4 linked regions of the Drosophila melanogaster genome follow. The protein of the gene in region 2 interacts with the protein of the main gene of each other region in a pairwise test. Each region holds a gene or a part of one and is shown on either strand. Other genes may lie near its edges. The genes, in order: CG14153, CG1394, CG42659 and opa.

The links.
Region 1: the proteins of CG1394 (region 2) and CG14153 interact in a two-hybrid assay, tested with the Drosophila melanogaster proteins (one large-scale study listed by BioGRID).
Region 3: the proteins of CG1394 (region 2) and CG42659 interact in a two-hybrid assay, tested with the Drosophila melanogaster proteins (one large-scale study listed by BioGRID).
Region 4: the proteins of CG1394 (region 2) and opa interact in a two-hybrid assay, tested with the Drosophila melanogaster proteins (one large-scale study listed by BioGRID).

What each region holds. Positions count from the first base shown.
Region 1 is NT_037436.4:10,641,030-10,648,479, forward strand, and holds CG14153 (uncharacterized protein), read left to right. Parts: upstream 1-2,498; 5' UTR 2,499-2,513; coding exon 2,514-2,561; intron 2,562-2,627; coding exon 2,628-3,293; 3' UTR 3,294-3,586; downstream 3,587-7,450. Other genes in the region: CG32066 (uncharacterized protein), read right to left, coding at 172-436, 503-765, 5,834-6,097; CG14154 (uncharacterized protein), read left to right, coding at 997-1,572, 1,675-1,848.
Region 2 is NC_004354.4:11,167,246-11,174,510, forward strand, and holds CG1394 (uncharacterized protein), read right to left. Parts: upstream 3,434-7,265; 5' UTR 3,265-3,433; coding exon 2,761-3,264; 3' UTR 2,566-2,760; downstream 1-2,565. Other genes in the region: Antdh (antennal dehydrogenase), read right to left, coding at 953-1,129, 1,209-1,784.
Region 3 is NT_033779.5:18,001,846-18,008,863, forward strand, and holds CG42659 (uncharacterized protein), read left to right. Parts: upstream 1-5,514; 5' UTR 5,515-5,648; intron 5,649-5,702; 5' UTR 5,703-5,722; coding exon 5,723-5,872; 3' UTR 5,873-5,997; downstream 5,998-7,018. Other genes in the region: CG5693 (uncharacterized protein), read left to right, coding at 4,938-5,156; CG42634 (uncharacterized protein), read left to right, coding at 6,149-6,493; CG42635 (uncharacterized protein), read left to right, coding at 6,583-6,981.
Region 4 is NT_033777.3:4,848,806-4,857,667, reverse strand, and holds the start of opa (odd paired), read right to left. Parts: upstream 4,856-8,862; 5' UTR 4,563-4,855; coding exon 3,614-4,562; intron 1-3,613. UniProt on the Drosophila melanogaster protein: Transcription factor essential for parasegmental subdivision of the embryo. It is involved in the activation of wingless (wg) in odd parasegments.

The sequences.
Region 1 (7,450 bases), on a different chromosome or scaffold from region 2:
TTGCCTCCTGCTAGCACAACACTCGCTCACAATTTTTTACAAATAATACAGAAGCCTACTAATTACATAAATAAAGGTAAAAAACCATTTAAATCGATACGCATACACATAGAAATTAACGTTAATGAACTCTCCGCCCACACCGGCCGCGCCCACCGATCCCCTCCAATATTATGCGGCCAACAAACGCTGTATATTCTTCGGCGTGTTCTCCCCATTCAAATGCTTCGTCGTGTATCGCAGGGCATTCAGCAGCGGCTCCGCCTTGATGGCCGGTTGCGCCTGCAGCAGTCGGACGCACCCCTTCACATCCACATGGGCGCCACGCACGAAGGCTCCCTCCGGATGCACATGGTCGTAGAGGATCACCAGGCCGACCATTACGCGCAGCACCAGCATTTTCGTGTCCTCACGCTCGATCTGTTGCAGGAGTTTTCTAAAAGCAATATTGTCCATCGATTAGAATACTTATTATCATTGATAGTGATTCATTTAAACTCACGGATTTTCCAGCATCCTCAGGCACACCTTGGCCATGGTGCCCAGCGTTTCCGTCGTGTTCTGGACATCATCGGCATTGTCATTGACAAACTTTGAGGTCGCCTCGCTCAGCACCTTGAGCATGGGCGTGGCGTGGGCGTAGAACAGGGACATCCGGTTGGCCAGTTCCGTGCTGACCAGCATATTCTCCGTGGAATCCACACGCTGTCGGCTGACGATGCGTCTGTAGTAGCTAAAATCATTCTGTATGGCGGGGGTTTTCATCTGAAAAATAGAAATATACAATACAACTTAATAAGTTTATCACTTTGAACATGATTTTAGGTATGCAATATGCCTAGCAATGAAATATTATCTGGCATCATTTCGAAACATCCGTCAAAATGAGCAAGCAAAACAGTACGGGATTTAGGAACATATTCAAAAATATTTACAAACGAGACATGAAAGGGTAAATTGAAAATTATTTAGTTAGTTTTCTAATCAACTTTTGGGATGTTGATTCGCACCGCTCGCAGAAACAGACAGAAGACCTTCGTCGTGGAGGATTCCGAATCGCAGAAGCCCGAAAAGAATCCGAGTCCCGAGCGCAAGGAGGATCGCAAGGAGCGCAGGAGGGAGGAGGAAATGGAACGCAAGCGGGAACTGGAGCGGCGAAAGGAACTCGCGAGGGAAAAGGAACGAGAGAAAAAGCAGCATCAGCAGGAGTGGCGCAAGGAACTGGAGAAGGAACGTCAGCGTGAAAAGGAATTGCAGCGTGAACATCTGAGGAAGGAGCCATCCACTTCCTCCAAAAGGGTAAATCCAGAAATCACCAAATTCGACGAGGAATTCGAGCAGGATATTCAGAAGTTGGAGCAAAGCATTTGCCAGCTGGACTTTCGCTCCAAAACGATGGCCACCATGTGGATGGACAAGCTGCGCCAACCACCACAAAATGCAGACGAGGCCAGATCTAGGAACATAATAACATCCCATCTGCTCAAGTGCTGTGGCGATAACATATTCAATAAGGAGCCATTCAATCATCCTCCGCCACCACAAAATTTGACAACCATAAGGGAGATGATGGTGCGTTTAAAGCAAGTCGTTCTTGAAATATTAAGCTATAGTCATATTTAGACAATTTTTTCTTTTCACTGAAATCTAATTATTTTGTATTCTTTTTTCTAGTTCTTAACGCGCGATAGTACGTGCCACGGAATGCCCATTTCCAAGCAGATGGAACCCAACGCCAATCTAACCCAATTATTTAGCGATTCATACGATGGTGGCGAGTTCCTGAGAAAGCTTCCAGTGCCACGTGATGGGGCATTCTTTATCTATTACATGCAACCAAATTTGTAGAAGTGAATTGGATTTTAAAGTAACGCCAGCTAAATTTCAAACATAAGTCTTCAATTTGTATTTTTTATACAAAATGTTAGTAAGAAAACGTTGATACCCTTTACTATAATAAAGCAAGCTCGAATTGTTTCTAATTTTGAAGTTCAGTCATATTTTTAGATAAGATACATATGTAGGGAAACGGACTTGTAAGTTTTTCTTCTAGCAAGCAGCTTTATCAACAAGATCATAAGGTATGCAACTATCGGTTGCTTTCAACACTCGCTCTTGTTAACCTCTAATTACAGTTGACTTGAAAATCTAATTACTAATTACGCGGTACGTGACACCGCAATTTGCCTGCCGCCCGTGTTGCCAATGCTTCCAAATGGTTTTCCACTACGGGCCAGGCCCAAAACAACGATGCCGCACTTAAGCTGTCAGGGCTGCAAAAAAACGTGCGTGAGAAAAAATACAAACATTACAGAAATGCCGCCTGCTAAATTTTTGAGTCAGGTAAAGTGGGGTTTGCTCATCCAATCACCTTGACAGAGGCGCTGCTGCAAACGAACATCATGCACTACTATACATTACTATACTATATATACTATATGGCTTTCCAGAGAGACTGTTGTGAAACCTCATATAAATACGTTATTAGCATAAATCGTTCTGAACAGTCAGAAATGAAGCCGCAAACAGGACGGATCGTGAAGAGCAGCTCGTCGAGCTGGGTGAGTGTTTCACTAGATTTCCATTCGGACACCCGAGATGATTAATCTATTAATGATTATTCCAAGCTATGTGCACTTATGCCCCTGATGATCGATGCAGTTTGTGGGAGAGCTCAGTATGCATCACCTTATGGCAGTGCTTATGCAATTACCACATCCAACTACGCTCAATCCAACTATGCCAATCCAGATGTACAATCGATATGGTCGGGTCCGCCTATCATAGTGAATGATAATCAGTACAGTGCCCAGGAACAGCAGCAGTATCCAAAAAGTAATGGTTATTATGTTGCGGAACCTGCGTATAGACAAGCATATCCAAATTGGAGAAGGGAAGACCCAACACATGCTCCCAATCACAACTATAACAATGTGCCCGGCTACTTTTACTATCAACAACAGGAGACTACGCCATCAACACCTCTGCGCTATCCTCAATCTCAAATTCCACCTCAACTTCAGCCATATCCACAAAGGAATCCGGAATTGGAGACCAGCGATTCGGGTCGCGATGAGGAGCAAGTGGTCCAAATTGGCGGCAGTCGCTCATTGGCCACAAATAACTATCTAAATACGTACAATAATAAGGAGAATTTCTATGAACCCGCTCAGCCCTGGAGGCGTCGTGATTACCAGGCCAAATATGCCCAACATTTTGCCGAATATTTGCGTAAATATCCAAGACGCCTGCAGCCAGTTTACAACACCAACGAGGATTTTGTTGAAAAGTAGGGGAATACTCTGCATTTGACTTTGCATCAAAAAACATATTGAATAAATCCCCTCAAGAGCCATTAGCAATTTTCGTTGAAAGCGTGCCAAGAAAACTATTTCTGTCTGTACTCGGAACAGATCAATTGCATCCGATAAAGATACAGATTGCAGCTGCTGTAGAGTCAACATGCCAACACAGTAAATATTGGTTTATCCCTTTAAAAGGCAAGAATAATAATAATTGTATGTAACAAAACTATGCTTAGTTAGTTCCGTAAGAGATACACAACAATAAAAGTTATTTTCAGAAGATTTTAATTAATTTAAAAAACTTCACTAAAAGGGAAATACCCATTTTTTGAAGCATGTTCTTTGTATTCTGTGGCATGCGTTGAACTTTGAATATCAGTGGTTAACTTACATAAAGGAGCACTAAAGCCAAGTTTATTGTACTCTATACAAGTGCCTTCTCGATGCCCCAAGATTTTTCGCAATAAACGCGACATTAAAACGAAGCAAGTTACAAGCAAAGTCAATAAATTGTACAGCATACTTTGGGGCGCACTGAAAACTGGTGGCAACAAAGGCGCAGAAACAATGCTCCTCCTCTTCGAGAAACGGAAGTGGCAGTTAGTTGGGAAGCACGTTTGGGCTATATAGTATGTACATACATACATATATATATATCGGTGTATACATATATGCAACTTTTTACACGGGAAAATCTGTGAGCGCCCGGCGGCTGACACTTTGAGCACACAATGAACGTGCAGTTTGCAGCGTTTAACATCATCATCATCATCATCGCCATTATCATTACCATTATCGTCGGGAGCACAAAGTTGCAGACACACTAGACATCAGAGACTAGAAACCGACGATGGCGATGACTTCGCCATTCCCTACCTCCACCATTATTTACCCGATTGTCCTAGATCCCAGCTTTCAGCTATACATATAGTGCTCCACAATCGATTTGAATGAAAGTTTCGCCAAACGGAAGCGAACCATGGGAAATGCGCCATTCACAGGGATTTGCCATTAAACAAATCGATTTTATTTGACTCCAGACAATCAACCGGCATATCCTCCAACTGCCGCAGAAACTGATGTGGCTCTGTGTAATGTGTTTTAACCCAGTGCGGGGATACGTTTGTGTTTGCATAGTTCACAGGCCTTTGTTATGGCCAAACACTTCAGGTTAGCCAACATAATTGAGTGTTTGAATTTCATTAAAAACCTATTGATTTTGTGGGCATTTTTTAAAGAGTTTATGCTAGGAAAATAGTGTGGTTATTGTGCGTTAGTTGCAATGAGTAATATATAATCAAACAAGAACGGAAAAGGTAATTTAAAATAAAATTAGGAAAATGAAAAAATACTGAACAACGTTCCTTTTATAATAATCACAAAAAAAAAAAACGCTGTATAGTTTTTACACACGCACTTAATAAACATTTGTTAGCTCTCATAAATAACCTCTTGTTTACTTTTTGAATTGTACCCTTGTAAATCTTTCTCAATCTAATTTTTCCGTCTTGTACATACATTTTTATAATTTTCTTATATAAGTGAGATATTCTACTTTAATGACCCGCACTGTCAGGCCACCGAAGCCGACATAATACACTTTACATCTTCATCCGGCCATCGGTCGTTTGTCGTGGGCCATTTGGCTTGCGTGCGCGTAAGTGCCAGCGATGCTCCACTGTGGCCCCCCAACGAATGTGCACGAGTGGCCCGAAAGATTTTTCATCAATGGGCCGCAGCACGCGCTCGTCTTGGCCATTCAGCCAACCAGTCAGTCAGCCAATCAGTCAGTCAGCCATTCAGTCAGTTAGCCAAGCAAAAACAGGCAGTAGTCGGTGGGCAAAAAAAAAGTCAGTCAATTAAAAATGCAACCACGCGCACCATGAGTTGGCAGTGGAACTCGGTTTGGCTTCATTTGACTCGGCTTTTAGATACATATTGCTTTGCTTTGGCTCGACTGTCGACAGCGCCCACATAAGGTAAACAAACAGTGAAGAAGACTGAATTTAACCCACTAACATTTTTGCAAACAGACGGAGATTAAATTGAATTAAGCCTTCATAAGACGTTGTCAACATTTGCATCTCTTTGCTGTTTGTGGCATCTGCAAAGTTACAGGAATTACCAGTTCGTTTGCAGTGATTACTAGTCTCTCGTTTAGATTTATTAAGATTTATGTAAAAATCCATTTAAGTTTTTATGCCATTTTTAGTGCTTTGTTATTGAAAATTTAAGTATTATTGACATAAAATGTATCTGCAAAGGTTTTTGTTTCACTGTAAAATGTTTACTTATAATTAAAGAGCCCTCTCAATCACTTTGTTTTATTAATTTAATAACCCACCCATTTCCCACTAATGTTGCCCTGTCAAACACAAGCAATGTCTTGTTGTCAGTGCCTGGTTTTCCCACCTCCAGCCATTAATGGGTTAACGTCGTGGGCGTCGTTACATCCAAATATGGACTACAGAGCTTGTAACACCCAGCTGTCAAAGTGAGCAAACTTAAACTAAACTCAACTCACTCACCTTGTACTCATCGAACTTCAGCACGAACTCCAAGATCTCGGCCAGCTGCTTGACCAGCGCCTGCTGCGTCTCCAGATGCTGTGTCGGATTCAGTTTTCCGCCCACCAGCTGGCCCAGCAGCTTGGGCACAATCTTGTCCAGCTCCATGGAATGCTCGTAGCAGCGCTTCAGCTTGTTCACCAACGGCAGCACCGCCGCCCAGGCTTTGGCGGTCACCTCCGGCGATGGATCGGCGATGGCTTCTCGGATTTCCTTGCCGGCACCCTGTAAATATTCGCAGGAACGAAGGCGGAAAAGCGTAAGTCAATACATTTGGCTCTAAGAAGGATTAAATGCTAGCTTGGCATGCGAACCTTAGACTTGGAACATTTTTACACTCGAAACCTTTTGCAATTTAAAAAAAAAATGTTAATTGTATCTATAGATACAGACTACAGATACAGATAGACTTTCCTATATATAGTTATAGTTTAACCTCTGATAGATAAACTAGGTCTTACGTATGTAATACACTAATCTAAAATATCCATAATTTTTTCTTACAGTGCACTCTTTTAGGGGTTCTAGTTTTTACGGTACCCTGGAGAAAAACTACGCCTGCTGACCACATTTCATGCATTTGTTTTATAACAATCAGCAAACTGCGTGCCAAGCCATTGTGGCCGGCGAGTTTTCATCGAGAAAAACTCTGCGTCTTTATTTCTGTGGCACATGCAACAATAACGATGTGGCAAGCCGCGTCCATTGACCGGCAGCGCAGCGATTTTTATCGATGCTTTATGATCTACAAAAAAATAATAATGAAATAACATAAAATAGTCGAATGAAAACCCACACGGCAGCGGAACAACTAAACTGGAGCTAACGAACGGTCATTGCATGTTGTGAAGAGTTCACTTCGTACAGTCGTACAATCAGCAAATGGCGTTGATTATTTCAATTGAGGTCTTTTGGCATTTTTCAAATGCATTTTAAGTGGCTAATAATACTGTAAATATTTTATTTTCTTTAGACGGCCAGCTAAATTGTCAGCGAAATTAGTGTTAAAGATATAATTTATGGAATGAAAATAATGAGTGCAACCGTTTTCGACTCTGTTAATAGTAGATTTTCATGATTGTTAGTCTGATATACTTTTTCCGCTTTTAAAATTTGAAATAGTTTCAAAAGTCATATTTCCGTTGAGTGAATAATTTTTCAAGAATTGACTGCCCTGTGCGATTAATAAATTTAATCGTAAATATTCGCTGTTGGAATACAGTATATTTCTACTACTAATGTATATGATGCTCCTAAACAAAGTTAGTTAACTTAATTATAGGCCTTCGATTCAGTTTCTTTTGGTCAAACAACGCACATAATTGGATAATTATATATATATGCCCCCATCTGATGGGTTCGCGTGTTTAAGCGATTATAGCATATTATGGCATACATTATGTAGAATTAAATATAGCCAAACCCCGCCTTCGATTCGACCCAAAACTCCAGTTTGGATGGCTTAGATAACATGCGAATTACACACGGCTCAGTGGCCTGCAAAGTTCAAGCTCATGGATATGTCGGAGTGGTGGGTTAACTCTATTAAAAAGTAAACGCATGTTATTTTTGGTTTGC
Region 2 (7,265 bases):
GGTCCTGTTTTATGCTCTCCTGCTGCAGCTAGCTCCATCGCATTTGTCTGACAAATTGAGTTTCCGGACGGACACCAACTCGGAAAAAGCGCAAATAAAATCAAGTGTGTGGCCGGCAGCAAGAAATACACTGTAACATAAATAGTCTAAATAATCATTGGGCATTTCCTGTTAATATTCGATTTTGCTGTGCCAAGTTTCAGGCAGGCACTTTTCATAGCAGTTTGGTTTTTCTTCGAACAAAATTCGCAGAGCGATTAGTATTTTTTCCCAGTGCACAGGAAGCTGGAAGAAGCGGAACGCTCTAATGACTCGGTTTCCTCCTCGAATGAAGCTATTGCTCGAAGATGCCCAATTGCACATGACACTCTTTGACCACAGAGAATTCCATTTGTGCAGGATGGCTTGCTTGCCTTATTTTCCCATTTATTGCTCGCCTTTTCTGTGTCAAATTTCAATTGTGCTCTTTTTTGGCCAGCTAAAAAAAAAAAAAGAAAAAACAACAAAAATTGTCAATTAAAGCCATTAGGGCCATTGGCAATTAGTTGCCAGCCAGCCCCATTATGCGGAAAGTCATTTGCCATTGCTCGCATTTCCTATATAGTAAATACATACGTATATATGTTTACCATACTTTTTCACTTACGGCTGGATTTTCAATTTTCCGTTTACCCATGGAAATGCATTCCCATTTATTTATCGCATTCATTGCATGTGTTGTTACTGCTCAAGACAGGGAATTTCAATTTCAAATTTAAGTAAATTAAACCGACTTACTAAATTTAAATTTAAATAGTTTTATTGCAACGTGTATAGCTTAACTGTGAATATTAAACTGTCTACGAAAATTGTGTGAATATGGTGCTTCATATTTTCTGTCACGGCAAAAATATTAAGATGAAGAGGAAAAATACAAAAAAAAAAAAGAACAGAGCTCCTGAAGCTCCTCCGCCTACATGGTCTCGCCAAGTGGCTTGATGATCAGCTCGTGCACCTGGACATGTGGCGGTGTGGCGATGGCGTACAGCACTCCCTGTGCGATGTCCTCGGAGTGGAGCATTCGATCCTTGATGGCCTCCCTAATGCTGTCCGGCACGATCTCCGTGTCCACCACGCCCGGACTGACGCTCTACGTTGGCGGAAAAAGCCAAAAAGGGGTTAGAAAAATGTTCAATCCGAAGAAAGTGGAAAATGGAAAGCGAACCAACCGTAATCTTGATGCGGGTGCCCAGGCCGAAGAACTCCTGGCGATATCCTTCGGCCAGCGCTGTAACTGCATGCTTGCTGGGCGGATAGACGTTCACATCGGGCGCCACGCCCTCCGTGGCCGTCATGGTCTTGTGCCCCAGGATGCTATTGATGAGCACCACATGGCCGTCGAACTTGCGCTCCCGCATGGAACGCACCGCTCGCTGGGTGCACAGCACGATGCCCATGATGTTCGTCTGCAATACCTGCTGCATTACGGCCGGATTCATGTCCACCAGATAGCCGGGTTGCAGGGTGCCGGCATTGTTGACCAGCACATCGATGGCGCCCAACTTTTGGATGATCCAATCGAAGGCCTCGTTTACGGAACTCTCGTTGCCCACGTCGCAGTAGAGGGCAAAAAGTTTGCCGCGCTTCTCCGCCGGCAGCTCCCTCTGCAGCTCCTTGACGCGATCGACACGTCGGGCCAGACCCACCACCGTCATTCCGGCTAGGACCAGATCCTTGGCTATGGCCGATCCGATGCCCGAACTGGCGCCAGTGACGACGGCCACGCGATTCTGCCAGCGTTCCATGATTTTCGATTGCGATTTCAACGATGATTACTCGAATCTCGGCCAGAAGATCCACTTTATATATCGCTGCGATGGTTGCGTGCGCTCTCCAAACGAGTTCTAGCCTAGTACACTGAGAGAAAAGTTCGAGCCAAACAATAGAATAAATATATAATGACTTGGTAACATTACGATTATGCTAAATTCATGTAATTTTAGTATAAATCATCGAATCTTTTTTTAAGAATAATTTCCCAATGGGCATACCCATTTTTTTGTAAGTGCATCTCGTTAGCGTGTTGAGAAATTGCCATCTCATCACTGTGACAATCAGCCACGCCCTGTGATACGACAAAAGGGGCGGCAGGCGTTGTATTTGCATAGTTAGAAACGATGAAACTTGTATTGTTTTTTGTACTTTACAATGCGAATCTCAAGAACATATATTTATACGAAGTGCTCAAGATAATCATACGGTGGAAAATTGGGTCTATTAATCTTATAAATGGTTTGCACCTAGTTATTTAAATTTGATTTGTTTAAACTAAATAGAAAAATCGAAATATTTACAATGTAAGCTTGATTTGTGCTTTAATTATTTGTATAAAAAATAAAACTTCAATATTTGACTGCCGAGTGAAAATAACAATAGTAACCTTTGCCATACATCACATTTTGCCTATTTAGTAATTAGCATATAAAATATATGCGATTTGAGTTTACAACGCTCTTCTCACATTCAATTTGCCGCACGTTAACTCATCTCTGTATTTATTAATGCAATTAACCCACCCACCGATTTGTGCCAACTGATTATTTTCATATCTTATGGATTTATGACATTTATTTTATACATTTTCGCCAAGTACGAGTCGTTTGAGCTGCACAAAACGGACGTTTGGTTCGAAAACTAATTGTGTATGTATATGGCCCATATGCGATTCACTTTAGTCGTTCGGTGAAGATGCTCGTGCTGTCATTGTTCGTGGCATCGATCCTACCAGAAGCCACCCTTGGATGCACTGCCTCCGCCGTAGTTCATGCTCATGTCCATGCCGTTGTAGGCGCAGAAGGCTTCGCCATTGTCGATGCACGGTTCATTTCGTCCGGGTATGTCTCCATATATTGAACGGTCCACGGGTGGCGGCACTATATGCTGGGCTCCTGTAATGGGCATGCCACACGACATGGCACCCGGCATGGCACCCGGCATGGCACCCGACATGGCACCCGGCATGACGCCCGGCATGGCACCCGGCATGGCAGCCGGCATGCCACCGGCTCCTCCGGCGTATGGTAGCATGGAGTGTGCCTGAGCTGCGCCCTGGCTAGGCCAACCTCCTAGTCCGCCGGCTGATCCTAATCCTGGTGCTGCTGCTGTTGCTGATAGTGGTGGTGGAGCGGCTGCTCCAGCGGCAGAGTGCTGCATGAAGTCACCCATCTGCGGATAAACGGGAGCATTCAACGGCTGGCCATTCCAGTACGAAAACGAATTCGACATATTGTGAGTTGCGGTTGAGTAAATCCTAAATACAAATAATTTGGGAAAGTGGTGAAAAAGAAACAGTTTTTCTTTCGATTTTTTTTTTTTTGACCAAATAAAAGTTGTACAAAATTTTGCTCCGCTGAACGGTGTTTACTGTTTGGGATCTAAAATATAACTGATAATCTGGAGCTCCGGCTGGGGTACCTCGATTTTTCGGCTTGACATTTAATTTCATGGATATGTTGATTGGAAATTTTTGGAAATTTTTTTTCGACCGATTGCAGTTGGCCATGAAAATACATACGATATTAAATTGATTGTTTTACCTTGGCACATATTTTAGGTTTAGCTCTTCCATAAAATGCCTAAGAGTAAATATATTTTCTAAATATTTTGAATAGCAAATTATAAGTTACCATAGTATATATGTACATCATCGTAAAATATTTGATTTATTAACCTGACATAAGATTGTTCATAAAGGTTTTTGTGCTTCTAATTCAGGTCATTCCGTGTTATTTAGCATACAATTTTATATTGTGATAAATGACATTTCTTTTTATTTTCATTTCATCTTTTTGCTCTTGAGTCTTGATTCCTATTTCTATGATTTTTTTTTTTTGGTTTAGCCTTGTCGGAAAATGGGGGCGGTGGGCGACCGAGGGGCGTGGCATGGCCAGCGTTGTGTTTAATTTTTGAAAAAGGACGCCAACTGTCGTGATGCAGCACAGATGATAATGACGAAGACGCGGCAACAAACGTTTATTTACACACTGGGTATTAAATGGGTATTAAAGACTTGGTACCATAAAATAGAAATAAAACATTGTGCATCTAATTACTTTGCTAACTATAAAACAATTATAAAACTGCATTAAATTCGATTAAAGTAATTGAACATTTTGGCAAATATAAGCAATTATATGCTATTTCGTGTTTAACTTTCAACTTGATCTTATAGCCCATCTAACACGTTTTGATTCACACATGATTGGCATTTAAATACGGTATTTTTAAGGTTCTCACCCTCTTGGCCATTCACATTCCACTTGATTCTTGTGCCAAGCATAAAATGCAAAACACTTGAACTGAGTGAAAACGAAGGCGAAAGCAAAATAAGCAACAACAAAATGTCTCATAAACCAACCAGATGCAGTGAAAGAAAATTCATACTAAAAATATATACATATATAACAAATGTACAGTATAAATTATTACTTTATAGTTCTAGTTGACAATAAGGAATTAAATGTTTCAACATTGCGTATGCTTAATATTCAATGCTGATATTGCGTATACGCAACGTTGGCCGCATTTTATTTTTAACTGTGCCTGCGAATATGAAGAATAAGCAGTAAGCTGAGAGAAAAATAAAAGAACGCAACATGGCAGGGTGTTGATAATGATAGCAAAGACAAAGGCCCACGCCTAATGGGACACGGAATGACGACTGAGGGGCGATGATGAGGCGTTGGCCGGATGGCAGGATAGCTGGATGCTTGGATGGTTGGATGGTTGGATGACTGTAAGGCCGGGTGACCATCCGACTGTCATGCCCACGTCCTTGACGCGCTGCAGTGGCGACAACGTAGTTAAATTGCCTGTCCTCGGCCGGCGTCAACATTGTGTCATTGCTAGTATTAAATCAGAGCCAAACAAATGATGATACATAAGTGCGACACAAGTGCGCAAAAAAAAGAAAAAAATATACAAACACAGCGAAGATTAACCGAAATGCTGGGTGGGAAAATTAAAATTACAGCACATAGCTTTGGTGCACTGAAAGAAAAATCCAGCACATTTTAATATTCAAGGTTCTTACTTTAACTATATAGTAGTTAAATTGCAATAAAATTGAAGTTATTTAAACCGATACTATTATTTATGACTACACACTGTGCACTTCTTGTGCAAAGAAATTTGTCTCAATATAAATTATGCTGGAATTCCTCTGGTTTTTCGTGTCTTAAGCGCTGTAAGTGATCAACTGAGTTCATATTTCAACGCCTGACCTTGGGTCATTCCAAATTATGTGATGCCAACTATGCCGGATGGGAGACTGATGGGCCAGGGCAGCTGGGTTGGCGAGCTGGTAACTAGAAAAGGGCAGCGGGTAAAGCGGGAAGACAAAGAGGCCAGTGCATAGCATAGTTCATCAAGTTTGCAAACAAACGCATACCACAGTCGGACTTCAAGGAGGCGAAGCGTCTCGAGGGGGGTGGGGGACTTCGACTTGGGTCAAATATGTTAGCAGTTGCATTCTGTTTTGGCTGGGAACAGCAAACATTCAAGTAGCTGGCAAAGGACAAAGGACCAGCACAGTGAGCCAAAATGACAAAGTAAATATAGTAAGGAAAAAAATTGACTTACAGATTAATTACTAAGTTAATTCGGTCTTTGAGACTATGTATGCAAAGCAGTATTGAATTTATAGCAAGCTTCATAAATTATGGAACTTAACCCATAGATTTATATGACTTCCTCTTAGTAAATCTTCACCACTGTAGCACAGTGTAGTTTTATCGCATTACTACAGCCGGTGGACCACTTTTTCTCTCTCTTTCCATTCACATCTACCTATTTCTTTCTCCGCCTCTGTCTGTTCGCCATGGGTTTCCTCCCATGCCATTAGCAAAAATGGGTAAATAAGCTTAGTTCAACTCTACTTCGAGTGGCGACTTTGGTGGGTGGGAGCGGGATGGCAAATGGCAAATGGCGGGAGCGAGATGGGGATAGTTGCAGGGCAAGTGGCGGGCGGGCGGGTGAAAGTGGTGAGAGCACTTGAAAAAGTGGCAAAATAATTACCGATAACACAAATGCCCAGGCACCGATTCCGAACGGTTGAACTTTTTTCCGTGTGCCCGCCATTTTTCCCGCCCTTTCATCGCAATTTTCGCCCGCCCTTCCACGTGGCTTTTCCTGCTTTTCGCCACCCCCTCCCCCCCCACACCCAACTCTTTCCTCTCTCCTCGCCGATTTCCTTTTTTTTTGTGTTTCGCTTGTAGAACTCTGGCTTACATAAATTCAATTGTGCGCCGCTGCGAGTGTGTTTGTGTTTGGCTGTCAGTGCAGTTAGGCTAAACCGATTTGTCTCATCCCGCCTTCACCCGGCGCACTTTCCCATTTTCCGCTCACGATCCTGAATTTCCCTGCAGGATATGCGCTGTTTTCAAGAAGTTTTCGATCAATGCTAAAATATTGAATGCCTTATGTTTTATATTTTATTTGTATTTAAAAGAATTGAAAAGTAATCTCAATCTTTGGATTTGTTTCTAATACTATTCCAAGGTGTTTTTAAGTGGAATTTTAAATTTACCTTTTGTATATTAAAACTATATGAATCTGCTTTATTGATTGAATAGTTATTTTCCTGATATGCAAACATAATACTCCGATTTCCTTCCCCAGAGTATTCACTCCATCGGCGTTGCGACTTTGAGGACAGGCTTTTCACCAGTTTTTCCCAACCTTTTTTTTTTTGTTGTTTGCACTGACCAGTTGACTTTGCTGCTCTCTGCGTCAATTGATGGCCCTCGAATGGACTGAACTCGAGCGGACTGAGTGGGGTCTTGAAGCTCTAGTCCTGCCAAAAAAAAGAAAAAAAAAATGAAAAAAAAACCGAAAAAAAATATATCAAGTATCGTTTGTCAAGTCAGAGCCAACATTCGATAATGTTAATTTGCAGTGGTAAAATCCAGTGAATCCGAATATATTGGGCTAGTAGTTAAGCCCAGTTGCGGTGAACCCCTTAATGACTGCCGTCTAATCACTCCGCTTCGGTGGAATTTTCTTGGGCGGATTTCTGGTCTCTCCTTGGTGCCTTGGAGCGTGGATTCTTACCGCATCACATAGCCATGCCAATTTATTTAATATGCCGTACGTGAGCTTCCGCTTGCTGTGCTCTTCAGCCCACGTTTATGGCCACTGACTCTGATTCTCGTCCTTTTTTCTTTTTTTTTGTATCCTGGCCAGCCTGCCCGAATGGCCTTGTGTGTGTTTTTACTTTCTCGCATTTC
Region 3 (7,018 bases), on a different chromosome or scaffold from region 2:
CATTAGCATTTTATTTTTTCTCACTGTACGAGCTTTGGAAAATTGAATCTTACGTAATGCCATATAAATCGAGCCACCTTCATATAAAATTCACTTACAACAGCAGCCAGTGGCAAAGAAAGAATTGCAATCGAAATTACTTTTAGCTCTCGAACGAGAAATGCAATTTGCATTCAGGGCGGCTGAAAATGTGGGTGCGGCCAAGGGGCCCCATATGATGGGGTGATGGGGCATACACGACTGTCGATGCATCATCAGAGCTCAAGTATCTGAACTTCCCGGGCTACTGTGAATTGCGGAGCCCCTCCTCCATCAATTATGCTGCGAATTTCTTCATTACAATTATCTCGTTGTGCTCTTGGGCCGCCTTTCGCATTGTTTCCCTTCCAACGTCATTGCAGCAGCAGCACTCGTGTGTGGAGGACTCTTCACTTCTTCGTTCTCTTATTTTTTCCTGATGAGCAAGTGATACGGCAGAGTCCCTGGGAAATTGGTTTTAATTTTGCCACTTGACGTGGCCGGCACTTGTCGTGGCATTGACTCCCATTCACCACCCCCCCCCCCCCCCCTCCCATTACATCCTTTTCCTCGGGTGTCAATGTCTCGGCTCTCGATTTCAGGTGAGCCCGATTTAATGAATGAAGATTACAGGGGCCATGCATTGGCTCAGATTTATGCGTAATGATATTCAAACAGGTTATTTATTGACTTAAGTCTTGAGTCTTTGGTTTCAGCTTCAGCTTTGGCTGACTCTATTTGCTTTTCTCGGCAAACAACTGGATAATTAAAGCATCAAATGCAGACAAGCCAGTTCCGCGGGAATAAAAATGTTACGATTCTTACGACTCACAAGAAAAATGATCTAGAATTAGTCTGACATTATGGCGTTTTGACTGCAATTTGTGCTGCTTTATTATTAAAAATTATTATTTAGTTATTTTAGAATATTTTTCTTTTCATTCTATCTTTCCAAAATTTAACTTTAGCACAAATTTGCTCAGTTTACTTGTCAGCCGAATGCACCCTGGGTCAAGGGGTATTAACAATGACCAAGTCCGATCCAGAGATAGAACACACAAGCGCCGTCACACTTGAGCAGCAGAACCAGAGCTCCAAGACACTCGGACGGACGGAGATCTCGACAGGAGACGAACGACGAACAGGTGTTCCAACTTATTCATTAAAAGCAAAAAGGAAACAGACAGCGGCAGGCAGGAGAATATAGAAAACAGCTTCAAGTGGGGACGGAACCTGACCGAACACCCCGTTTCCCTTAAAGTCTCAAGTTGACACTGAAAGCCCACATTTCTTTTAAATTAAAGGTAATTCTAAAGAGCAAACTTTTATGAAGCAACATTTTTAATATTATAAAGAAAGTAAATAGAATAATTTTGGTTTTTCCCAATGACAATATTCTTTTTTCTAACATCTCTCGAAATATGTAACTTTGAATAATTCTTTTCCAGTGTATCCTTGTTGGCTCAAAGTTTTTCGCCTCCTTCAGTCGCTTCTTCAGCTGGTTAAGATTGTGGTCGACACGCAATTGCGGCAATTCGAAGTTGGATGCGCTCCGCGGGGCCAGCGAACCGAGGCAAAAGCCAAGCTAAACGCTTAGAAGCCCCTCTCCACCAGTTGCTCCTCTTGCTACCCCAGGAACTCACATCCGCCGCAGTATGGAGGCAAGTTTCTTGCGGCAGCGACAACTGGCAACCTGCCACTTGTGACTGGCAAGCAGCAACTTTGGAGCACTGAGAAAACTAGAGATAGACTAGTAAAGAATTGTTCTATAAATTTAATTAATTTTTAAATTTATTAAATACGCCTTAAAACTGATCTAGCTTTGTATTAAATGGATTTTTATGTATAGATGTTCTATATCCAGTTATGTATAGAAGAGAGCAGATTTTTGCAGTGCATCAACTGGCAAATTCAACTGGCTGCATCGACTGAAACCGAAGCCGGTTTCGGGTGTGTTAACTTTCTATGCCCGGTAGCGCTGATTGCCAAGACAACGACAGCCCAATTCATTCAGCGGTCTCGCCTTTCAGCGGCAGCAGCTGCTCGAGGTTCTTTGGGCCACTTCCTCGCCTTTGTAACCGCCTTTGTCCACTTGTCCAATTGCTTTGCATGGCCAGAATCTGGAATTTCTGCAGGCTATTCCAGTTCGATTTATCATGGGCAAAGTTATGATCGCTTAAGTGCCGTCGTTTAGGGTTCCTGTTTTAGCCTCTGCAATTGCTCCTCATAAATTCTTCCCGTGACAACACTAATTGCAACTTGCTAGATGTAATAAGAGGCTGGGAATAATTTTAGCTACTTATACAGCCATAAATCCAGTTGGCTTTCGAAGATCTAGATTTCGTATCCATGGATATTTTGCCGGATTAACATATAAGAATTCATGCCCAAGCCAGTCTGTTTTTAAGAGTATACAATAAAGTTTGAAACCTCATTTTTTGGATAGCATAAGCAAAACTCAATTGTAATGAGCTTAGACAAATCCGTCAACCGAACCCAAAATGTTATTCATTTAAACTTCATTCCGGTAACCACAAAACTATAAATTTATTAATTGTTCTTCAGTTCACACTTTCCGCGACCATCGAAAACATATCAGTGGACAATCGTATTTGACAGCCCATAATTGCTGGCAAATTAGAATTATTTATTCAGCAAAACCATTTCTGATTGCCATCCGTTTAGAGTTTGTAATTCATAATCGATGTTTGGTACGCTCCGCGCATAAAACCGAAATAAAACCACAAAATAATAGACACAACTATGTATGTTCAGTATGAACAGATCGTTTCCATGTTTTGGCTGTGACGGAAGTCTGGCCCCATCGCATAGGAACCCAAAATATATACACACAGACCGCGCAACTCTTTCAAAAAGAGGCCATAAATATTGTTCATTTGTAAATAAATGGCTAACGAAAAAGAAGAAAAACTACGAGTAGTGAAAATCCAACAACTCACAGAGCATATAAAACATGGTTCATGTTCATTTCCAGCACTTGGTTTTCTATTTCCAAGCCAAACACTCTATGGTGTTCCATGTCGCTGCGTGGGTGCTCATTTTTTATTGCAGTATCATCTTCCGGTCACTTTGTCAGGCCTCCAATACATTTCTCAAACAGTAACGACGGCACAAGTGTGCCTACTTGGGTTCGAACTTGAGTTATTAAAAACAGAAACGGAATCCAAGAAGTAATAGAACTACGTCCGACAAACGGAAGTCGGATAGACAATGTCGCAGTGTGGATGGGTTCTATCTAAGGGTTACACTGAGAGTTATGTGTTGTTACAGGAGCTTCTCATTCGAATCTCTTAATAATTAATTGATTTTGCACATTAGTTTCAAACTATTAGTCTATAGAACTGAGCAATAAAATGAGTAAGCTAATATATTTAACTTCATTGGTTATGCAGGAATTGGGTTCTTCTGCTTATGCCACTTAAAAGCAGTTCGCGTGACTGCACTTAGTTCAGTGGCACTAGAGTCCGTTTGCTCGGAGTGACCGGTCCCAAAACCACCAAGTGAACCGTCCCCCTAGCACTCCGCCCCAACACCCACTTACCGCCCATTTCCCCACCCACCTACACACGCAGTCGACGCACCGCGTTACGCTTTGAATATAAATTACACAAATAGTGCACACGACTTTGATGGCTGCAGCCGGCGACATTGAAAGCCGACAACGCTGCACAGTGGGTCGAATCCGAAAAATTATTTATATTTTAATGATAATGATAAGCTTAAAGTGTTGACTAAAATTATGCTATCTACCTCAATCATAAACATCACTATTTTCGATTTATCACATCCAATTTAATTAAAATAAACCCTTTTCGGTCTTTTTGTCGGTATTTTGTGTGCTTGAACAATGCATGTGAAACTTTTATACTTTCCAAGCTGAAAGCCCACAAATTAACCCAAGTCAAAGCACTTCGGTTCAAACTCTTTGGGTCACTGCAAAGACCACAGTGCAGATGAGCTGCCAGGAGCGCTGGTCATATCACCATGGCCCTTTGATGCTAATGACTCTGCCATCGCCTTAAAACCGGGGGATAAGCATCGATGGGGGCTCACAACGCTCCGAACTTAGCGGGCAATCAAAAACCGTGCTGAGGCAAATTGGCATGCGTGATGTAGATGAATGGAGATGCAGCCAGATGCAGCTAGATGCAGTGGCCAGGGGGAAATGGCGATGGATGGAGTTTCTGGGCGGGGGCAGAGGTACATATGTGGGACAAGTGATTTCCGCATCGCTTTCTGGATCGCAGCGAGCGGCTGCGTTGATTGATTGATTAATTGACAAAGGAATTGCCGTTAGTTTTCCATTCGCATTTACATTTGCATATCTAATTTATGAACGGCCAAGTCTTGTCCGGCCGTATGTAGTTCATTGTGTTAGCTATGCAAATGCTGTACTTCCGCTGCGAGCGTCTGCCCAAAGCAGCTTAATTATTCATTAATTTCAACTTAAATTCCATATTTGTGCCTGCAGCCATTTGTGGCCCAGTTTCGATGGCCTGCAGTTGCAGTTATCTTTCCGCTGGCTTTTGTCACCATAAAACTGAAGTGTTGCCCGATTATGAAATAATTATAAGCGTTCTGCACGCACTAACCGGTGATTTTAAGGGCGATTGGACTTTGATTCGGATTTTGGGAGATAGAGTTCAATGTGGGAGCTATTCGCATCGATTCTAGTACGAAATTAACTAGCTTTGTTTAGAGATTTGCGCAACTCGGGCATCTAGTTACCCGTTCCATTGTGTTTCAATACCCATGGAAATGAGAACATTTATGAGCCTCACTCGGCCCGAAAATTGCACCCAGTTAGCATCTATGTAAATTCACAAAATCTATAAAGTGGGACCCAATTTGCCACTGCCATCTGCCTCGACCTTCGTTTTCAGTGGAGGTGCTGCAGCATGCCTTGCATATTTAATCCGGGCTACATTGGACCCGATCCGCCCTGCTGTGACCCCGATTGCTTGGAGGAGGGCCACTGCACGGTTCCGGAGTGCGGAGTTTGCCCGGAGTCCCAACTACCCCGATGCAATCCCGCCCCACAATCCAACAAGGACGCGGCGAAGCAACCACTGGACCAGAAAGCCCAAAAAGAACCGAAGCTCCGGGAACAGAAGTAGTGGGGAAAAAGGCAAAGCTGCAAAAATGAACCAGGAGTCCTTTGGAGATGTGCTGAACACACAACCTTGTTGTGTGTTGCTAATATCTTCAAACATCTTGAGCTAAACCCATTTAGCTCATCATCTCCTGGGCATCGAACCGTCATATTGTAACATTATATTTCAAAAAAATTAATAATAATAATAAATAAATAAAATGAATATCTATAAATAATAAAAACAATAATAATATATATTAACCTCAAATTACCAGCTCTTTTCTATTTTAGCACAAAATAACTGTGGATAAAAAATACAGATAAAATTAATTCATTTTCTTATGATCTATCTAAAATGAAGTCAAATAAATTTAAACCAGCATTCTTGATTTAAATGTCAACAAAATAACACATAAGCGTACATACGCATTTTCTTCATTCAAATTTCAAGCACGAAACGTGTTGTTCTGGTCAAACATTTGTTTAAATTTCTCATTTTTCTCTTCCATTTCCGGTGAGTTTCGAAAGAGAAAATGTGGGAGATGTATTTATAAAATAAGATTTGCAGACTTCTTTCGAGTGCTGAAAATGGTTTACTTAAGTCGTCCTTGGACTCCGGCCATAAACCCTTTCTACATTGGCCCCTATCCGAGATGCGCAGTATGTCCGTGCAACTTCGACATTTACAAAGGATACACCCCCGGTGGCTGGCACAGTCGTTGCTATAGCAGCTATTGACGAGACGAGTACCTGTATAAAATGCAAGAATAACGGCGGGAACAAATATAGTTGAACTTTGAAACTGCACACCAATTAGCCTCGCACACATCTATGTAGAGAAATAATAAAATTGATTCATCGTCACCAAACTGTTGAATATTGCTGGGGAAATAATATAAATATTCCAATCGAAATGGCTTAGATTTCAAATTAGAACTCCTGGGAATTTTAGTTTATCAGGTCGCAAATTGTGTGAAAATAGTTTTCTAAATTCAAAATTCAAGTCTCTTGGTCATGTCCTCGTCTGTGGATCACGTGGTACACCACGTACTGGCCCCAATGGCAATCAACGTCCTCGATCGCGTGGTGCCAGTAATCCGCCAATTGGTGATCATCATGCATCAGGCATTTCTGGTTGATCACCATGTGTCGGAGCCCGTGATCGATGTATCCGGCATGATTCAGCCCGTTCGTAAAATAGTCTTGATTGTAAACGATTCAACGCCGGAGCACCATGTCGACCAGGAGCAGGTGGTCAGTTCGGATGACATTAACTACCTGATAAATGAAATTTCGCGAAGTATCCGAAACTTGGCCCGTTCGACCTATAATACCATCTCGGCGATGGCTGGAGAGTAGCCCTAGAATTATTTGTCATCGTGGTCGATCGAAAAATCCGACATCGACCCTCCTGATCCTCCAGAAGATCCTGCTCCTTTGCCCAAGATATGGAAATGGTTCACACGGCCATCGGAGTTGCGGGCATAGTGGCCCTGTTTATGGTAGTTTCCCGTTCGTTAACTGAAGTGGGTGGCAGGGTGTTAAACCAAACCCGTGATCCGATCGCTGACCTTGTGAGGCGCGGTGGTCCAGTGGCGGATCAGCTGTCCGCCGTCGAGGGCGAAACTCCTCTAGTAGAGGGCGATCGCATGGATGGCGCCTGCTCCGTGGTACAAAGTATTGGAGGCAAGGCATGTGCCTTTGTAGGACCATTGCTTCCTAAGTTTGGCAGTGAACATAATTCCGAGGGCTCCTCCAAGGAAGACGAAAAGGATAAAAAGGACTCGGAACCGGTAGTAGTAAAACCTGAAACACCGCCAGCGGCAGAATTAACCGAAGAGGAGTAGGATCTAGTCAGCAACTATGTCGAATAGAAAGCAAAAA
Region 4 (8,862 bases), on a different chromosome or scaffold from region 2:
GTGTGGAATGAACTATCATTCCCACCTCAGTTACCCCAAAGCTTTCTAAAAGTGTAAATAATTGCATAATTCACTTCATCATTCAGAGCTGAACAAGTCCATAAAAGACTCATTAAAAAAACACTTGCACTCAATTAAATGGAGCCGAGTTGGGGCCGAAAGGGGCATCCTGGCAAAAGGGGGAGCTAATCAAACAAGGGTCGCAGCTGCCAGGACAATGTTAAATGCTAAACTTTGCCCCGCAGCATAATTGCACAACAACAAGGCGCCTGGGGAAGCGGAAAGTGAGAGGTTGCACTTGAAAAGCGAGGAATAGCGGGGAAAACCAGAGGTGGTGGGCTTTGGGTGGTGGGAGGTTGAAGGGGGCAGCTGGGAGCTGGTTCGCAGCAGCTTAATGAGCTTGGAAGGAGCGGATGGGGCGCTACGAATAAAATCTAACCACAAAGTTGTTGAATGCTCTTGTGGCAGTCGGATCCTGTGGCCGTTGTAGGTGTTAATGAATAAAGTTGTTTGTGGTCCGCCGGGCGGAGCGGAGCGGAATGTAGTGGAGTGGAGTGGAGAGGAAAGAATCGTGTAAAAGATGGCTATGTGTGTGCAAACCGCACAGCGTGATAAACGCCATCTATCCAGACACACAGACTCTCGGGCCGGTCAACAGAGCCCCAAACAACAAAAAACAACGGCCACAGAGCAGACAAACCTTGATTGTTTGCCGGGTTTTTTGTGCCGAGTTTAAGGGGCGGAGTCTGGTGCTGGGGGGGGGGGGGGAATACAGGATGGACAGGATGGACAGGAGGCTAGCCAAAATTTCAGACGGTGACGGGGACAAGTGCAAAAGTTAACACAACGCAGTGACCGGACGGAACGGTGGGAAAGAAACAAAAAGAGACATATGCATGTGGTGGTTTGTGTGAGTTTGGGATCTATATTCTGAAAGGACTCTTCCCACTATTACTCATATATCAGTTGAATCGAATTTGTTTTAGATCATCGTAACTATTGGTAAATCGAAGCAATGCAATCTTTGTTTTAAATAATAGAGATATATGTAAGAAAGTAAACATAATTATTAAGCCGAGAGAAACACACAATTTATGAGGCAATAGCGAAAAACTGGATTTGACTGAGAGTTATTTCACAACTATAATCTCCTACTCTCGTTCCACACTCGAATCTTAAAGTCAACTCCTGCCGCGGTGTACTGACCCCTTCGATCAGTTCGAGCTGCTACAGTGGCACCATTTGGGCAGATCTATATCGGCTGGATCCATAAACACGTACTTGACTGCCCTGCTCCGTTTTACTCACCCACTTATCAAACTCGGACCCCTCACCCGTCCCATCGGCGAGGAGTGGAAGCCAGGTCGTAAATAACCTTTGCATAATCTAAATCAAAAGCTTAATGTAGCATGGCGAGTAACCCAAACAGAACAGCACAGAAACAATCGCAGCGCAAATAAAATAAAGCTAGAGGAGTGGAATGCGAATGTGCGAATGCGTCCAGTAATCCGGCGAGTGTTACCCCAATTTCGGTTTCGATGGCTTTTTTGAGAGGGCCAGCACGGAGTGCCTCGGAAGCATTTCCGAGCCATTTCAAACGGAAGTTTTGACACGTGTCAACACAGTGTGTTCGAGTGTGTTTATTTGCCCTGGGTCGGCGGTGTCAATGCAATAAAAACAAACACCAGTGCCAAGGGACATTTAGCCGAGCCAGCGATGCTGATTGAATTTTTGATTTATGCGGTGTGGAGGATGCTACTTCAAGTGCCCGAGTCGTATGGAAAGGTTAAAGGCCCCGATCCCAGCCAGATACCAGACCGATCCCAGCTCGATCCCGATCCGTAATGAAGTTGTGCGCCGGCCACTTGAAAGCTAATCAATATGTTGGCTATCTCCGACAATGTGTAGCCAGGTCAACCAATCATAGGCACACACAAATCAGTCAGAGGTCCTAAAATGCACTTTTCTGCTGCATCACGGCGGAGAAAAGAAATATGAAATTAGTCAAAAATATCATCATACAGCAACCAACTCATTATAATGCCACATGATTGTTCCAAAATCGAACACAATATGGCGGCGTCTCGAAATCAAATCGAAACATTTTAATTACCTTTCGATGAGTGTGCAAAAGAAAATACTGTTGTCCGAACAGATTTACAGAAATAGCTTTTTTGTGTGGCTAATTCTGTGATTTATGAATTTCTTTGTGAGTTTATAATCGCGGTAACTACAAGATGAAGCTATAATGAAGCCCGACGTCTTATTTTAATTCAATTTGGAATCATGAGGCCAAATTACAAAATAATAGAAATAAAGAGGCAACAACAAATGCCAAAAGCCAACATTAAAACAACAAAATATAAGCATGCTGGATATTGCGGAATATTGCTGGCCATATTTTCATTCTTCTCCTCCAATTTCCAAGTTAATTACGCCAAGGCTGAGGTCAATCAAGGATAATCCAGGACCAAGCGATATTTGCTGGAAAGTTTATTAACCTGATTGGCGCTCTTTTCACCAATTATGCGAAACTTTGTTTTGTGTTTTCGCATTTCATGTTTGCTTTCCCAACTTCCACTTGTTAATTGATTTTAATGGCTGTGTTTCGCCGCTTCTAATGAGCCCTACATGCTCAGCCATAAATTTCAATGGAACAAGTTCAACAGCCACTGGAATCAAAGTCATTAATTTGCGTTAAGCTCCGTTTCTGGCTTTATAGTTCGACTTCTCATAGATCACGACTATACCGCATAAATTGTATTTTAAAGCCTCCAACTATGGCTATGTTTTTTCAAAAGTGTTCAGGCTATGAGCTGCAAAGCGATTTTAATTTATTTTTGAAAGACAATTGAAAGAGAAATGCTTGAAATGGGCATGATTAATGATGGATTTAAGAAAAATTAATTATATTGAGAATTTGCATAGAGCGGTTGGCTATCAAAGTAATAGTAAGCCATTATTATTAAATAATACAAAATCTGAAGCCGACAACAAGGCTTAAAGTATAAAAAACAAAGGAGTAGCTAAACTAAATTTTTCAGTTCCTTTACAAATTTGACCAAGTTTCCAAACGTAGTTAAATACATGCCAGTCAAAATCCAAAGTCAAGAGAAGTCGCAGGCTTAGGGAAATACTAAGACCAAAAGTCGAAGTCAACCTAAAGCCGTAGAGTAATCCTAGCCGTAAGGACAACATCTTTGCGGGATTTTCTGGGCGCGGAAGAGCTTTGGGCGCAGGTTTTACAGGTGTCATAAAAGATGACCCGCCCGGCCAGTGGCGGGTTAAGCCAGGTAGTGGGCGTTGCAACGACTTTTGCCGTCGGTAACACGCTCACATCGACAACGTCCGGGATTTGCCCAGGCGGGCAAGGGTTATGCCCACGCAAGGTGAATTCTAAGAGATTGCAGACCTAGCATGTGCTATTCTAAATATAAGCGGTTAAAATCTGCATAAGGCTTCGACTTTCTATTAGTATTAAGATCTTTATAAAACAGGAATAATTACACACAGAATTTGACTGCCAAACCAAAACTAAATAAAAGTATTTTCTTAGTTTAATGAATGGTTTAATATGGTTTAAATATAAAGCGGAATGCACCGCCACACTTACCTGTATGCGTCCGCTTGTGGATCTTGAGGTTCTCGCTCCGGGCGAAGACCTTGCCGCAACCCGGGTGCGGGCAGGCGAAAGGTTTCTCGCCGGTGTGGACGCGGATGTGGTTGACCAGCTTGTACTTGGCCTTGAAAGGGCGTCCGTTGCGAGAGCAGCCCACCCAGAAGCAGGCGTGGGTGGTGCACTCGGGTCCGCCCACGTGCTCCACGGTCAGGTGGGTGACGATCTCGTGCATCGAGTGGAATACCTTGTTGCAGGTCTTCCTGCCGCCCGGGGGCACCAGGCCCGGCTGGTCGGGGTCTATCCAGAGGCACTGCATCTCCTGCTTAACGCTGGAGGCGGACGAGGCCGGCTGATGGCGCATGTAGCGCAGGAAGGCCCCTGCTCCGGCCGGGTGCATCGCGGACATGGCGTGGTGGGACGGGTGGTGCACGACCGGGTGGTGCACTGCCGCCGTCGGGAAGTTGCCGTGGTGGTTGTACGGGTGGCCGGCGGCGTAGGCATCCGCCATGCCCATTCGCATCTGATGGTGGTGATGGTGGCTGTGGAAGGGGTGTTGTCCGAACCCGGAGCCCAGCTCCGCGGCCTGAGCGGGAAAGCCGGAGAAGAGCATGGAATCCGCTGCGGCGGAGGCCTGTCCGGCGGATCCTGCCACACCGTACTCGGCCTCCCTCCTGCCCAGCAAAAAGTCCCGGGAGGCATAGCTGTTAAAGTGCCCATATCCGGAGTTCTGATAGGCTGCAGCAGTGGCCGCCGCGGATTCCTGATCCTGTTGCTGTTGCTGCTGCTGTTGTTGCTGTTGTTGCTGCTGCTGTTGGGTCATCTCCAGTTGCTGCTGCTGTTGCTGCTGCGCGTTGCTGTTACTGGCGGTGGTGTTGGGCGACATTCGCAGCCCGTAGCTGGCCAGGTGGTGCTGAGCCGGCTCAATGAAGGCGTTCATCATCATGGTTACAGTGTTATTGCTCGCTTATATGTTTTTAAAATTAATTCAGAAAGAACTGAACTACAAGTTTTCGATTCGCACTTTGCTAGGCCAATGAGCCCATCACGCACTGAGGTCACCTCACTTAGCTGTATATACTGTGCGCTTATTTCGCTCTTAGATATTTCGCATGCGACTTGATACTTATTTACGTAATGCACTCGCGCGCGATGCGTTTCTGGGGCGTTCGAATCGCAGCAAGACTTGACGCTAACCGAATGCCAAGACTTGACGTTTCAAGATGCGCAGCAGGACTGAAATGCTCCTGAAATTCTAACTCGCTGCTGTGTTGCCTCGTGAAAATATCTGCCGACGATCGCATGCGTGCGAATGGGATCGACCTATGCACGACGTAAAATGAATAGAGGGTAACGAAAGCGCGAGTGCGAGCAGGCCAGGCGTATGACCTGCCTGTGGTGAGTTGCGCTTGCCATGGTGTATTCGGCACAAGCCACCACTCTGTCGGATAGGCCTGAGCCATGGGTGCGAGTGCGACAACTCTAAGAAAATGGCCGCCTCCTCGCATGCTCCAGAGTCGGACAGAAGAGCACAGAGGCTGCGCACTCAGTCCAATTGGAACCCACCCGACCATAGCGCCCTCTCGCTCGGCAAACTGGTTTCGCGAAAATTAACACCCACTGCGGTTGGCCATTGGGTGGTGGGCCGACAGCGTGCGGCGTGCGCCTGTGCAGGGGGCCCAAATGCTGATTGGACCGACGGGCAGCCAATTGAAAGCTCGCGGGGATGCATTTTCCAGCCCGCTCCTCATTGTCACGGCGGACGAATAGCCCGCCACTTCGGGTAGCCCAGCTGTCAGCTTATCAAATTAGTTGTTTATTTTATTGATTTTAATGATATTAAGCACATTCCGTGCTCGGACATCGGAGATTTCCAGCCGTTTTGTTTAGGTTGCGCCATAAAGACGTACGAGATTTCATTAGCGCCAAACGCTCTGTTTTTCATTTGCTAATTTATGGAATTTTCAATAAGCAGTAGTCGAATCAATACATAATCTTGTATCAATCGACTTGATTGGATTCTGCTGAGTGTTAAGTGCCCCGGCAAAGTGGCTTTTGGGGCAGACTGTGAAGTGATACTTCGCCTGCATAGGGCAAAAATGTATAAATTTATTTTCATACAAAACATTTGCTTTGTGATAATATGGTATAACACTATGCTGTATGTATATAGTCAGACGCTCTTCTCAAAATATATGATTTTTTCTATTTACAATCCAAAAACTGAGCGATGCAAAAGGAAGGTCGTTAACATCAAAATTGTCTTCGTTTAGTATTCGTGTTTTGAACTAGTCCTCATCTGTAGATAATTTAAGGTTGATATGTAATTGCTGGCAGAGTATTAAAAATTGCTTAAGCTTTTAAAACGATAATAATTAAAATCAAATTGAATTTGGATATATATTGAGTAATCAAATTTTTATTCAAAAACAGTATTTTCTAATCAAATATATTGCCCTGAATTTATCGTTTGAGAAAACAATATTTCCTGGTAAAGTTTAAATGAGAATGAGAGCAAGAAAAGACCATGTGATTCCATGCTAATTACCTTGATTTCCGCAATGAATTAATTGGGGCAAATTGTGACATAAAGCGTCACCGCCAAGCGGTTCGGCTATTAAATTGTCAAAACAACTCAGCGGCAATCAGCAATCAGCGGACGGCAATCGACAGTCCATAGTCGTCCGAATGTCATACCGACCCCAATGCCATTTTGGGAGACGGGCAAGACCATAAAGCAGCGGAAAGTGCACCGAGCTGGCAGGCACCCAGTCCCGCAGAGCTCCAGCGACAAGTGTCACTCGAAATGAAGCCATTGCTCCATATCGATGATGGAGGATGAGGACGAAGCCGCCGGGTTGGAGCAGATGATGGGCTGCAAACGGAGCAGTCGGCTGAAGTGGATTTCTAGCGCACTGCCATAGAACTACTCCCATAAATAATGCCGTACGAGCCACTTGAAAATGGAAGCGCAAAATGCAATAAACTCTTAATAACAAAAAAGGAGCGGGGGAAACAATCTCAGGCGCTAGCAAACAAGAAATTATAAATTTAAAATGCCCAGATAAACAAAATGCAAGTTGGCCCAGCAGGTTGCAGCTTCTGTTGTTGTCTGTGATTCAAGAGGTCCATTTTGGACTAGACCGAATATCCACTTTCCAATGCAGAAAACGAATTTAACGACCCAGTCAATCATTCCAAGTTCAATAGAAGCTCTGAAGATCCAAGTAACATCAAAAATCTTGTAGCTTTTGCGATTTTTTAATTATCTTCCTCCATCATAGCCAACCATATGTTTTATAGTCGAGTTCTTTTAAGCCCTGATTATTTGCAATCCGTCGTGTTAGTAGACGTATTCATATTTTGGTGTCGATTTCACCCCTAAAAGCAGCGGACTGAACCCTCAGCTGTGCTTAATCAGTTTGGCCACAACCAAGTGGGCAACCAACCGGTGGGCGTCGGGGACAACCTGGGGACATGGCCGCGTGGCATGGGCACGGACTCATCAGAGTCAGAGCCGAAATCAAAATAAAACCGTAACCTGGCGTGGACGCCTTTGGCACATGCCGCGATCACAGCGGTGAGCACTGTACTGGTCTTTTGCCAGGGGTTCGCATGAGACCCGGGATTCCAGAGCCGAGACTCAAGATTCCAGTTCCAGTGCGGGATGGAGAGTTCCGTGCCGAGCCCACAGAGTGAATGGCCATGGTGCGAAAAGGCAGGGAGGGGTGTCAACGGAGTGATGTGGGAGCGTGGGAGTTTCCTGTCCAACTGGTTTCCTCGCGATTTCCTTTCATTGCTTCTATGCCGATTAATGTGCTTCAACAAATGGAAGTAAAGATGGAAAATGTTCAGATAAATATTTAAGCGAGCACATGAATTGTTTGGTACTGTATGAAGTATATACTCTTGTTAATTGCGTAGAAAATAAATCTAGCACTCTTTTGTGCAATGAAAGCATAAAGACGTTGCCACAAAGTTCAATAGTAAATTGCAAGAAATGCCTGTTACCATTACACACCACAATAATATCAAATTGAAAGAGTACGCCATTGAATGCGAGGTTAATATTTGGAAAGAGTTTCCAAAACTATGAACGATCTACATGGGCCTCCTTTTCATTTCAGCACGTGGTGAGCTCGCTCCACCCGAAACCTTAACCACCCACTTCCCGTTGCACAACCAATAAAGCAGACAGGTAAGAAGGCCCTGGCCAAATCCTAAAAGGCAATTCGCGAATCTCGAAAAAGGCGAGGACATCTGAATCAGAATGCTTAATCCCGGGGCGTGATAAACTGGCGATGCCTAGGAGGTAGTACAAGGATTAGGGAATCGAGACAGCTTAGGAAAGTCAATTTTTTTACGACCATGCCATGAAGACACCGGAACAAGGCAGCACATCTAGCCCACACATCGCTTCGAGATTCTCCAGATAGAGGGAAAATGAAAATCGTGGAAAATTATATGCCCATAAATATTTTGCCGGAGAGCGGACACGGCAATTTTGCTTCGGACGAATCATAAAAAAGTGCGTGACGAGAGAAGTGCTGACCGTAGGACACGGACTGACAAGGTCATGTCAACCATAAATATTTACATGCCATAAACACCAAGGTGAGGGCCGTCCTGGCAATCCTGGCCATACTGGCTCACATCCTTTTTCCGCAATGCGTTTTCCATTGAAGAGCAAAAAACAAAGGCGATCGGAAACCAGGAGACCTTGAACAAAATTTATGATCAGTTGCTGCTCGCAGTTTGCATTCGCAGGTAAGTCAAGTCAAGCAGTCAGTCAACTTTCCGGCCCGGAATCTGTGATTTACGAGCTGTTAGCCATCCCGGGATGGATTTTCATTTGAATTGTGACTGCTATTGTCCCTGTTTGTCCGAGGTTTTCTCGGCCATCGGCCACTTTTCGCCGGCATAAATTATGCCGTTGCCCGAGTCAAGTTGTTATGGTGGGCGTTGGTACTACACAAGCACCTCGTCCTACCTGGCCAGGGTACGGGCTTGGTTCAGCTTGAAATCCGCATTGGTATCTCTATCTATCTCTATGGAATTTCGATTTAGGTAGGCGTTACAGTTTCCCAAGCCTTAACTCTTTTGAGCCAATTACGGTGACCACTTCTGGTTAAATGGTTTAGTTTTCATTAGGGCTCATGTCCTGACTTTGTTGTTAAAAAAGGAAAAGGATTGGCACATTTCGGGAAGGAGTTTTTCGGGGTGAGCATCATTGTTTTGCCCGACAT